Linked DNA regions of Nothobranchius furzeri. The protein of the gene in region 1 purifies or fractionates together with the protein of each later gene. This does not show direct contact. Links are inferred from orthologs where the notes say so. Each region holds a gene or a part of one and is shown in the gene's direction. Other genes may lie near its edges.

The links.
Region 2: the proteins of ezh1 (region 1) and phf1 purify together in Homo sapiens (affinity purification with mass spectrometry; 5 studies listed by BioGRID and IntAct, with this or other methods). This does not show direct contact. The link is inferred for Nothobranchius furzeri from reciprocal best matches to the Homo sapiens genes EZH1 and PHF1.
Region 3: the proteins of ezh1 (region 1) and phf19 purify together in Homo sapiens (affinity purification with mass spectrometry; 4 studies listed by BioGRID and IntAct, counting the BioPlex papers as one, with this or other methods). This does not show direct contact. The link is inferred for Nothobranchius furzeri from reciprocal best matches to the Homo sapiens genes EZH1 and PHF19.

The regions. Positions count from the first base shown.
Region 1 is NC_091745.1:7,469,562-7,473,299, forward strand, and holds part of ezh1 (histone-lysine N-methyltransferase EZH1), read left to right. Parts: intron 1-768; coding exon 769-797; intron 798-885; coding exon 886-1,011; intron 1,012-1,986; coding exon 1,987-2,165; intron 2,166-2,248; coding exon 2,249-2,344; intron 2,345-2,425; coding exon 2,426-2,507; intron 2,508-2,583; coding exon 2,584-2,664; intron 2,665-2,739; coding exon 2,740-2,824; coding exon of another isoform or gene 2,825-2,828; exon of another isoform or gene 2,829-2,866; intron 2,867-2,969; coding exon 2,970-3,030; 3' UTR 3,031-3,738.
Region 2 is NC_091745.1:62,322,163-62,326,360, reverse strand, and holds the start of phf1 (PHD finger protein 1), read left to right. Parts: upstream 1-1,239; 5' UTR 1,240-1,370; coding exon 1,371-1,375; intron 1,376-1,701; coding exon 1,702-1,780; intron 1,781-1,882; coding exon 1,883-1,964; intron 1,965-4,198. UniProt on the Homo sapiens protein: Polycomb group (PcG) that specifically binds histone H3 trimethylated at 'Lys-36' (H3K36me3) and recruits the PRC2 complex. Involved in DNA damage response and is recruited at double-strand breaks (DSBs).
Region 3 is NC_091750.1:35,547,132-35,551,507, reverse strand, and holds the start of phf19 (PHD finger protein 19), read left to right. Parts: upstream 1-1,417; 5' UTR 1,418-1,689; coding exon 1,690-1,694; intron 1,695-2,027; coding exon 2,028-2,211; intron 2,212-2,304; coding exon 2,305-2,386; intron 2,387-2,835; coding exon 2,836-2,949; intron 2,950-3,027; coding exon 3,028-3,125; intron 3,126-3,204; coding exon 3,205-3,353; intron 3,354-3,425; coding exon 3,426-3,521; intron 3,522-3,596; coding exon 3,597-3,786; intron 3,787-4,376. Other genes in the region: fibrinogen C domain-containing protein 1, read left to right, coding at 19-198, 269-528.

The DNA.
Region 1 (3,738 bases):
CCGGTTTTGTTTGTCCACACGCAGACACCCAAAACGGAGAAAACGCAGATCTTCACTTTGGCCGGAGTTTTTAAAAAGATCCGTTTTTGTGTGAAAAAACTCCGTTTTCATGTGGATGACAGGCCAAAACGTAGAAAAATATCTACGTTTTGGCAGATCCCCGGCTACGTGTGGACAGGGCCTTACCCTCTTGCTTGAGGGTGTCAATGATGCCCTTCTGGACAGCAGTCAGGTCGGCAGTCTTACCCATAATTGCGGTTTTGAGTAATGAACCAGGCTGGGAGTTTTTAAAAGCCTCGGGAATCTTTTGCAGGTGTTTAGAGTTAATTAGTTGATTCAGATGATTATGTTAATAGCTCGTTTAGAGAACCTTTTCATGATATGCCAATTTTTTGAGATAGGAATTTTGGGTTTTCATGAGCAGTATGCCAAAATCATCAATATTAGAAACAATAAAAGGCTTGAAATATATGAAAATCTAATGTTTATCAGTACATTACAGAAAATAATGAACTTTATCACAATATGCTGTTTTTTTGAAGGACCTTTATATATATATATATATATATATATATATATATATATATATACATATATATATATATATATATATATATATATATATATATATATATAGTTTGTTTTGTTTTGTTTTTGTTTCTTGTAGAACTGTTTCCTAATAATTGACAAGAATTTAGCATCTCTGCAGACATCTGGAGAGGCTCTAATTAAGTAAACATGTGTATTTTTCCTTGTTTACCGTTTCAGATTGTGGGCAAAGATCCAGCTAAAAAAAGGTATTATACAAAAATCACAGCTGCCAACTGGCACACACATTACAGCTCACAGTCTTGTTTTGGGGGGTTTTGTCCTTTGTTGCTCCAGATAACTCGTCCAATCAGGTGTACAACTATCAGCCATGTGACCACCCTGACCACCCGTGTGACAGCTCCTGCCCGTGTGTGATGACCCAGAATTTTTGTGAGAAGTTCTGTCAGTGTGAGCACGAGTGTGAGTGTCACCTTTCTCTCCAGCTCCTTGTGAAATCAGGTTGTCTCACATCAACTGTTTTCTTTCTGGGTCGTTGTGACATTTATTTTATTCCCTGAAAGCCGTTTAAAAGACCTCTTTACTGGGTCGGCGTGGATCAGAGCTGCAGGCTGGAATGTGTTTCTGCAGCAGAATAGAAGCTGTCATCTCGTGGGCATAGGTGTTTATCACAGAGCTGCACCTGAAACGAGACACATCTTCTGCGGCAAAATAGTGTTTTCTGAAATGGCCACATGGTGGAAGGAACTTGTTGTTTTTTTATTTAGCTCTCTGGAAAGATATCAGTCCAGACAAAGCAGAACATGAAGTAAACATGTGGCTGAAAGAAGGTTTTAGGCTCAAATTTTCTTCATGTTGTGGTTCGGTCACCTACTCCCCTCCTCCATCTCCTCATTATTACCACACCTTTTCCCGTAGCAGAGGAGCGCCCGGGCCAAACAGGAAGCTGTGCTCATTTCCACATGTGTGCGCTTTAAAGGCTTGGAGAGAAATCAAAGAGATGTCACAAGCTCTGTGGCAGAAATGCAGCATCATCAGTATGAGTCAAACTGCTCCAGCGGAACAAAGCTCGACAAGACAGACACGAAACCCACAGAGGCTAGGAGGAGTTGGGATTTAAAGGAACCACGGAGCTGTCTGGACTTCTTGTTATGGACAATTTCCTTTTACGTAGAAGCTTCTGGGAAGAGATTTCGGATCACTTTTGCTTAAGCTTTGGCTTCATCTGCCCAGAGGGTGTTATGTTACAGTTTTCAAAATTGCATTTGGGCATATCTGCCAGCAGAGGTCTCATGACTGATGAGTCCATCAGCGTAGCCCACCCACTTACCGTCGCTCACATGCTGCAGCTGCTAGATTCAGACGTTCCAGCTGTTATGTTTTATTTTACAGTGTACATTTAAACTTTGTACTTCCTGTCTGTGAACTGGTTTTCAGGCCAGAACCGCTTCCCAGGCTGCAGATGCAAGACTCAGTGCAACACAAAGCAGTGTCCGTGCTACCTGGCCGTGAGAGAGTGCGACCCCGACCTGTGCATGACCTGCGGAGCTGCAGACCACTGGGACAGCAAAGTGGTTTCCTGTAAGAACTGCAGCATCCAGAGAGGCCTAAAAAAGGTTAGTCTGAACATTCCTCGATCTGATATGGTGAGAGTGTGGAAGGTGGGAGCTGGTGGGAAACAATCTGATTTATCTTCTAGCACTTGTTGCTGGCTCCATCAGATGTAGCAGGGTGGGGAACATTCATCAAAGAGCCTGTTCAGAAGAATGAATTCATCTCTGAATACTGTGGAGAGGCATGTTCACTTTGACCTTTATTCAAATGGGTCACAGAGCTTGTGCAAAGTTAATTCTTCTCTTCTTTTTTTTCTGAGCAGCTGATCTCTCAGGATGAAGCAGACCGACGTGGAAGGATCTACGACAAATACATGTCCAGCTTCCTTTTCAACTTAAACAATGGTAAGTTTGTGTTTCTATAGCTTTCCACAGGCAAACAGGTTCAGCGTGTTGACAGAATCCCGTTGTGTCCCTTTAGATTTTGTTGTGGACGCCACTCGAAAGGGTAACAAAATCCGTTTTGCGAACCATTCTGTGAATCCCAACTGCTACGCTAAAGGTGACTTGGTTTGATTTGGATTCAGCGTTTTCCAAAGAGTTGTGTGAGCTGATGTTTTGTTTATTACTGTCCCAGTCGTGATGGTTAACGGAGACCACCGGATTGGAATATTCGCCAAACGAGCTATCCTGCAAGGAGAAGAGCTCTTCTTTGACTACAGGTAGAGTCACGGGCCTTTTTGTGACTCTCCATCAGCTTACAAGTAAATTTTAAAAAAAGGAAAACAAAGCCACTACATATTGTTTATTTAGTGGCTTTTAGTTGTGTATTTTACTAATTTTCTCCTTAATGTTCCTCCCCCACAGATACAGCCAAGCCGATGCCCTCAAGTACGTCGGAATCGAGAGGGAGGTGGACTTGTCTTAGCTTTGCTGCTGTACTTACAACCTGGCTTTTGTTCCTCATCTCTGTCATTATGCAAGCTTTTACTGCATTCATCATGCTGATCAGTGAAATGCATATGCTGTCTTTGGACACGGATATCAGTTTCATGCGTTAGCTGCCGCAGTAGCTTCAGTCAGACGCTCCTCTCATGCACCCGGCATTCTAGATGATGTTGCACCCTGATTGGTCTTCAGAAAAAAGCGTGTCCAGGTTTGACAGCTTGGTTTGTTTCTCAATGAATATGTACAGCAGCTAGCATCACAACCACATCTATGTGGGTTTAAAAAAAATGTGCATTTACGTCAGCGTTTTGCAAAAATTATCAAAAAATTACAGGTAACCCGATGAGAAACCGACTGACTGAATGTAACGTGTTGATGACTCATTGTTTTTTTTTTTGTTTTTTTTTTTTACATTATTGGTACTTAAAGAAATGTGTATATCTGAAATATTTAGCATCATGTGAATATTATCACACATTACCAGGCAAATTAATGGTAAATAAATTAGTCTCAGATTAATTGTCTTCCTTTAAAATCGAATTAAAAAGTGCCAAATAATTCCTCACGTATATGCTAAATAAACTTGCATGTGAAATGTAGCTTGGTTTCCATGTCAAGGTTATAACAATAGTGATGTATGATTATGAGTGTTTGACCAAATATGGGCGTCGCATCATGTGAAACATTC
Region 2 (4,198 bases), about 55 Mb from region 1:
GAAAATAACACTTCACCTTCTTTTGAAGAAATATTTACCAGAGGCCATTTTGAACCAGCGGTGTTACCGTGCTCGTGTCTGACTGGTGAAATAAACACACGAACAATCTGGGATTTGTCAGAACTAACCAGTAAGCACGTAAGTGAGCTAATGTAATATTTTAGGGTCTTTTATTAAGTACTTCTCATTTTATTTGAAGTTAACTCATGTTGTTGGATAACTTGATTTATATCGGTATAGTTTCATATTTTGAGAAAATGTTGAAGCAAGTGTGCACGAGTTCCTCATGATGAGTAAAACGAAACTTTTCAGAATCAGTTGTATACCGCTGATGTCCTTAAATGACCTGTGAAAGAAGAGTAAAGTTCATGTCAGCAGAGACTAAAATTACAAGACCTTTTAAAGTGTTCTGCTGTTAAACTTTTCTCCACCGGTCTCCTAAACTTGTTGAAGACCAATCAACGAGGCGGGAAAATACACTAATTGGCTGCTTAATTGGCCGCTGTTACGCGCGCTTCCACCGAGGCTGTGGTGCCCTCCTGCTGCCCTTAGAGCTCAGGCATCACTGTATTGTCACAACTGTTTACCGGTCATGCTCTCAGACGATAAGGAGCCCCCCTCCTCGGTCGGATATGTCGGTGTTTTATGTCTGCGTCACAACAAGTCGGCGGAGAGCGAGCGGGAGGGATGATGGCGTCTCTGGCGGCTTGATTCCGGCGCAGCTTTGACAAACCCGCACCGTATTAGTAGCTGGGGGGGGGGGGGGGGGACGGAGGGGGAGCAACAGCGACGGGAACATGACGAAACGGCATCGCGGAGGACGGACAAACTAGACTGAAAGACGGACAGTCGCCTTTGTCCTCCTCCTCTTCCTCCTCCTCCCCCTCGCTGACGGCTTGACTGACACACTGGCGCCTGGCAGAGACACAGAATACATGCACATCTTCTACTTTTCTGTTTCCTTTTCTTTTTTTTTTTCTTTTCCACCAAAAGCTGCGCATCGCAGCAGGCAGGAATCTGGGCAGCAGGGATCCACGGCAGATGAGGGCATTTCCTGTCCAGGAATCACCGTGACCCCGACGGAAAGGAGTTCGACTTGACAGGTACCCTTCACCGGCCAGCTCACTGTCCAATTGGCTCCATCCTCCATCAGATGCTGCTCAGCATCCTGCATCTGCGTAGACCTGAGTGCATGCACCGGAACAAATGCAGTGTGGAAAAAGAACAGTGTCTGCAGTCATTTCACGCATCTGTTTAAGTTTTCTTAAAAACTGAGAAGGTGGCGACAGCAGCAAAGTCCACCGAGGATGCTTCAAGTGGCTGCACAGGGAGCTCTGCCTGTTCAGTGAAACTGTGTTGCAGTAACCATCATGCAGTGAGTGTGTGTGTATGTGAGTGTGTGTGTGTGTGTTTGATGTGTGCAGTAATCATTTATCTTCCTCTCTGGTTGTGTATACTCACTCTCATCCTTCACTGTGCTGGATACAGGCTGTATGCTCAGGTCTAAGAAGGAGGAGGGGGGGGGGGGGGGGCGTTTAGATTTGAACCCATTTGCACCAAAACCCGACTGTCTGAGAGGCAGTCAGAATGCCGGGGCTGTAAACCCCTCCGTCAGCAGCGGCGGCGGCAAAGTGTTCAGCAAATAAATCGGATTTCCATTTCACACGAGCCCTGCTCTCTCCTCTCTGTGTCTCTCCTCAGGATGGGGGGTGTCAGTGAGGGAGATGATGTGTTGGCTCGTTGGAGTGATGGACTACTGTACCTTGGCAATGTAAAACGGGTATGTGTGTGTGTGTGTGTGTGTGTGTGTGTGTGTGTGTATGTGTGTGTGTTGATCCAAAGCACTCTGATGATGATGATGTTTGGTGTCTGCTCTCCTCAGGTAGACGGAGTCAAGCAGTGTTGTCTGGTGAGATTTGAGGACAACTCTGAGTTCTGGGTTCTGAGGAAGGACATTCACTCGTGTAAGAAAAACTTTCTTTTCCCGTCAGCTGGAGGAGTTAGAAACTTCCCTGCGCCGAGAACTTTTCTGACTGAGCAACAGATTTCAGCAGCGAGTTTCCTGCAAGTCTCCAAATTATTTCAGGCCACGTTTAGGAAGATTTCCTGTTGCTGCTGCTGAAAACGTTTCTGAAAGCTATCATTAACATGCATGTTTTCCTTTTTCAGACTAATGGTTAGAATGTGGTCAGTGAAAGACTATTATTTTTTTACACTTTAATTTGAAGGATTTGGGCTTTCTTGTAAAGTTTTCTTCAGTTCTCTCCTCAGGTTTGATTCTTTTTTTGTCATTTTCTGGTCATAGCAGAATTTTAAGGTAAACATTTTTTTTCATTTGCTTTAAAATGAACACATTTGAGGCCAAAAGAAGTGTCCGAATTAAAGATGCGAGAAAAGTCAGGATGTCTCTAAAGAATCAGGGCCAGAGAGATCCATCATCCTTAAGCTTGATGGCTCTTTCAGCTTCACCTTGTTGGAGCGAAAATCCGCATCTGTACCTGTCAAACTGGGAACTTTTTACTGCCTTTTTAATAGATTCGGCTAAAAACGGAACATGTTGTGTATGTGACAGGCTTCGGGTAACGGCAGAGCTTAAAGAGCCAATTCAGAACTGGTTTTGTTTTGTGTTTACACAATTCTGGCTCTTCTCTTGGGAGCCTTTTTCACATCTGAATGACAGATCAGAGATTTACCTCAGCAAGTCAGGAACCTTTAGTGTCGAAGTCAAAGGGTTGTTACTATGGATGCACATTATATATCTGCATCAGGTCGGTATCAGTTTGATAAGTAAATCTGGGCCGATATTGGCAACAAATATTTCTTCCATCTTGTTTCTGTTTGTGTTTCAGTTTCAGAGGGTGAGAGTGATGTGTGACTGTTTAGTCATGTTACAATGATGCGTAAATGTGTGTGTATGTAATAACACACACACACACACACACACACACACACACACACACACACACACACACACACACACACACACTGGTATCGGCCCAAAATTTCATATTGTGCATCCCTAGTTGTTACTTTATAATAAGAAATGCAGATACACTGCAGATCCAGCAGTGGTGCAAAGAACTGCAACACCCATAATGCATTGTGTAAATGAGCTATTATAGGCCTTTCTAAACACGAACACCCTATTTAGCATTTGGTTCTGAACTCAACCTGTAAATAACTCCTCAGAATGCTCAGCAGTTTCCAAGAAGAATAACAACAACAGTAACAATAACAACAACAACAACAACAACAATAATAATTACAATCAGGTGAAGCTTTTCCTAAAACAGCCTACTTTCAAATTTTCTGTCCATTTTTTGACTATAAAATTGACACTCCCTCGTTATTTATTTCCTAAGTTTCTAATAAAGAAGCTTAATGAACCATTAAAGGACATTCCCAAATGTGGTTGGAAAAGCAGCTGAAGTTCAAAAATGACTTTGGAAAACTTCTGAACAGGACCTATTTTTTAAACAAGGCCTTTTTATTCAAGTTTTAACAGTAGATTTTAAACTTACCAAACTATACGGGACTAAACCCATCGTCCCCACCCACAAAGGAAATAACAGAAACAAACTATAAAGACACACTATCAAATTAAGACAGAAATGGAACAAAACCAGATCCACTACAAGGATGTTTTAAAACAGATTACAATATAGCCTGAGTGCTTGGAAATAAAGAAATAAACAACAAGACTTGAGACTTTTGCACAGTTCTGTTGAAAAACCACAATTTTTGACATTTTATGAAATAAAACTTTAGCTTATCCGCTGTTTGCTTGGACCTCACATGTGCAGTCTTTAGTTATTATGAAACCTGATATAGTCTTGAATATAAATCCCATCAAGATTACTTCTAGGCTTCAAAATAGTTTACTTTCAGACTTAAGCCCTGTCCACACGTAGCCGGGGATCTGCCAAAACGTAGATATTTTCTACGTTTTGGCCTGTCATCCACATGAAAACGGAGTTTTTTCACACGAAAACGGATCTTTTTAAAATCTCTGGCTAAAGTGAAGATCTGCGTTTTCTCCGTTTTGGGTGTCTGCGTGTGGACAGACAAAACCGGAGTTTTAAGGTCCGCAACGTCACTTTCCGCGGCAAAAAACGTTGACATCACGTGTGCGACCTGTGTTTACACTAGCCGACAGCATGGAAGCCCTCGAAGCTGCGCTCTGTCACTACCCGATCCA
Region 3 (4,376 bases), on another chromosome or scaffold:
GACCCATCCCCTTCCCAGGTCTACAGAGGATCTACTCACTCACCAGGTCGGGTGGTTTCGAGTTACGTATTGACATGGCCGACTTTGACAACGCCACAGCTTTTGCTCATTACTCAGACTTTTCTGTTGGTCGAGACTCTGTGAACCCAGAGGAGGATGGCTACCCACTGCTGGTGGATGGGTACTCTGGGACTGCAGGTACTGAACAGTACTACCTTTACCACACATTCCTGGTACAGCTTTAACACCGATGCTCTGCCTCCTCCAGGTGACTCTCTCCTGAAACACTCGGGGATGCGATTCACCACCAAAGATCGTGACCAGGACCAGTCTGAGAACAACTGTGCGGCGTACTATCAGGGGGCGTGGTGGTATCGGAACTGCCATACTTCCAACCTGAACGGGCAGTACCTCAGAGGAGGCCACGCCTCCTACGCTGATGGTGTTGAGTGGTCCAGTTGGACCGGCTGGCAGTACTCTCTTCAGTTCACTGAGATGAAGATACGACCCAGAAAACTTGAGTCCTAAACCAGGATCTTGGACATCAAACCAGCCAGGACCTGATATCAGTCCTCACCTGTTAAATAAAGTGTGACAACTATTTTTTCTACCTGTAAACAGCGGATGGGTTCCTGTTCACAGTCTCTATAGGCGGTACTTGTTTCTGTATGACTAATGTTTGGTTACATATTAGGGAGGTTTTAATATTAAAGGATCCGCTGCTCTTCCATTTGTCTCCTTGCTTAAATCTGATTTTAGATATGAATAAAAAACTGACATTTGCTGTGACATTTTAACAGTGTTTCAGTATTTTCTCACAAGTTCATGAACAAAAACAGAATAATATTCAGTAAAAAGCCAGCTAATGGTGCGGAGAACACGCTAACTCCATCCACGCTGTACCAGTTTGTCTGTGGAGTCGGGGGGTGTTTAAAACCGCCTTGCAAGGCGATGTCTTGTCACCTGACTACTCCACTTTTTAAAAACTTTGTACACCAACAAGTAAAAAATTCTTTGTATTTGATAGTGCAATAGGCTGAAGCCAAGACTCAGTTGTGCCTGTCAGACATGTTGCACTGTGCTCAGTTGTGTCATTGCAAGTAGAATAGTAAAATATAAAGTGAAACATTCAAAATGAAATATTTATATTTTAATGTAATTACAGTCTTTTCTCGCTACAAGATTTTCAGTGTAAAAGGTTTTGCTGCTACGTCAAACTAAGCCAAATAATGCTGTCTAAAATACAACAATAACAATGTAGTCTTTTACATCTTTAATCGGTCGTTAGGGATGGTAAGAATACTATTATGGATATCTGAATATTGTAAATTTTTACTAGCAAATAGGACTTAGTGCTTTCTGAGAGTGCCTAATAAATGTAAAAACGGCTTGCCATACATTCTGATTATACGGGGTTCGGATATGGCGTCATCACGTATCTACAAACATCCTGCGATTCGCGGGAAAATGAAAAAATGGCGATTGTGGGAGTTTGAAGTGAAGGCAGAGACTGCGGTGAGGACAGAGACCAAGAGACAAAGACGGAGGAAGGGACGAAGACCGGGGACAGACTAGAAGAGACAGGGGGACAGAGCAGAAGGGGCTCGCCGGAGGACCTGTGACCCTCCGCGGCTAACGGTGCAGTTCGGAGCGCCGGATAACGGGAGAGGAGGACACAGCCCGCATCAGATGAGGTGAGACGGCTCAGTGGAGAACCGGCTCCGGTTCTTGACAAGTCGGCTTCATTATGTGTCTGTGATTAAAAAAAACGTCAGTGTTAACCCCGTTTTATTGTAACTGGGTCTTGCCGGTAGTTTCTGGTCGGTAACGAGCTCAGGGTGTGGTGGTTATGTGGTTAGTAGGTTAGTTAACGGTCTGTGGTGGAGGGATGCACTGCGCATGCTCACACATGTCAGAAACCCCCTTGACAGTTCAGGAATGAATCAGAGTTCGACCGAGAGTTCCTGTGCGCGCGCCTTTTGTCTGCTTGTTCTGCTCAACGGTCTCTCTCTCTCCCTCCTTCCCAGGATGTTTGAGGACCTGGTCCAGGCCTTCTCTGGTGTGGAACATCAGGTGTGTCCAGGGGGCGGGGCATGTCTTAGTGGACCAATCCCAGAGGATGTTGAGGGGCCGGAGTCTTGCCTGACTATTGGTCAGTTCGTGCTCTGTCATTGGTCAGATGGACTGTACTATGTGGGGAGGATACAGAGGGTGAGTCCAGCTTCAGACACACCTGACATCACACTGTCAGTAGCATCACCTGACTGGTCGAGAGCTCAAAATGCTGTTCTGACTGATGAACAGGTGAGCTCCCCCAGGCAGAGCTGCTTCGTCACCTTCGAGGACAACTCCAAGTTCTGGGTGCTGTGGAAGGACATCCAACATGGTGAGACGGTTAGCTAACTAGCCAGTCACTTTCCCTTTAACTAGTCGGTTAGTCTGATTATCCTGATAGGTTATCGGAAGAATGGGTCAGCGGAAAACATGGATTATGAGTCTTCCTCATTAATATTCATGACGTGGGTTAGGGAGACTACATTAGGCATCAAGATGGTGTCTCCAGCTGAAGATGTGATGATGAGCTTTCAACCTGAACACAACTGGACCAGAACCACACATGGGGAGCCTAAGTCGCATAGTCCAAAACACAATATTACCTTTCGTTTGAGTCGAACTACAACATGCGCGTGATTCTGAGGAAAAGCCTAATCGCTTTCATCGCCCCGTTCACTTACGTTCATTTTTTCTTTGTTCTGGGGACTCGTGAGCCGACCGGGAGGGGAGGAGACTTAGGCTCCCTTCTGATGCATGAAAATCTGTCCAATCACATTACAGCTGGGATACCGGGGGAGGAGCCTCACTGCTCCGTGTGCAACGGAGTGGAGCCAAAATCTGAGAACCAATCAAAACACACCAATGGAATTCTGATTTGTGGAAAGTGTGGCATAGGTGAGTCTGGTGGGTTGGACAGAGACTGGCTGTGTGGAGATGGTGTCCCCTCACCTGTTTTACCCGTGTCTCTGGCAGGTTTCCACCAGCAGTGCCATGTTCCTCCAGTAGAGGGCGATAGCAGCGACCTGAGACCGTGGTTCTGCAGGCGCTGTGTTTTTGCTCTGGCTGTGCGGGTACCGGTTTTCCTTCCTGCCCTTCCTTCCTGTCTCTGATTGGTAACCCCACATGACCGGTCCTCCTGTGTCATCACAGAAAGGCGGTGCCCTGAAGAAAGGAGCGCTGGCCAAAGCTCTTTGGGCCATGAAGCAGGTTCTGCCTTACGACCTGACCTCTCTGAGCTGGGACTCTCAGCATAGGACCAATCAGCAGCAGTGTTACTGTTACTGTGGTGGTCCTGGAGAGTAAGTGTGACCAATCAGGACCAAGTCTGTCCAGGTGTGTTGAACCGGCAGCTGATGTTGTTCTGTGTGCAGGTGGTACCTGAAGATGATGCAGTGTTTTAAGTGTCAGCAGTGGTTCCACGAGGCGTGTATTCAGTGTCTGCAGGAGTCCATGATGTTTGGAGACAGGTTCAGAGACGGAAACTTCATCCAGTCCACAATTCCTCCTGTGGAAAATCCTGACTGTTGTCTGGTTTTTCTCAGGTTTTACCTGTTCCTGTGTGCCGTGTGCAACAAAGGGTCAGAGTATGTCCGCCGTCTGTCCCTCAGGTGGGTCGATGTGGTCCACATTGTCCTTTACAACCTGTCAGTCAGCAGCAAGAAGAAATACTTTGAGTTGGATGAGATTCTGGCCTTTGTCTCTGCCAACTGGGACCAGTTACAGCTTGGAAAGGTAACAGAACCTTCTGATCCAGAGCATATGTTCCCCGGGGGGCGTGATGGAAAGGCATTGAGAAACACTGGTTTAAAGTAACGATTGATAGTTGTTTTTTTTTTTACTTTAAGCTTGAGCTTTAACATTGGTCTCAGTGATTGTTGAGTTAGAAACTTGACCAGTTTCATGTTTGGCACCACTGCAGCCCCCTGCTGACTAAAAATCGCCCTTGATAGTTTTGTGGAGCGGGTAAGTGTCCCACATGGCGCTCAGTTTGCCGATCATCAATAAGAAGTTTGCTTTTCAAGTAAAAGTAAGTGAGTAATGTATGTGAAGGCGAAGCAGAAGAGCTAAAACCAGAGTGAACATCAGCGCAGCCTACACTCGTTTAAGGGAGCTAAACAAAAACATGGACTGATGGTGACCTGGCTTTGTTGCTACAGGACTTGTAAGTAATAATATTTTTGTCCGACAGTTTGGATTTTTTTTACTTACTGGCTTATTTTAGTATCAGTTGGCTGATGTTAGTGTTAGCTGATTGTTAGCGCTAGCTACAGCGAGCTGCTGGAGGGTTGTTTACGACAGTTGTAGTTCCACTTTCAACCAGT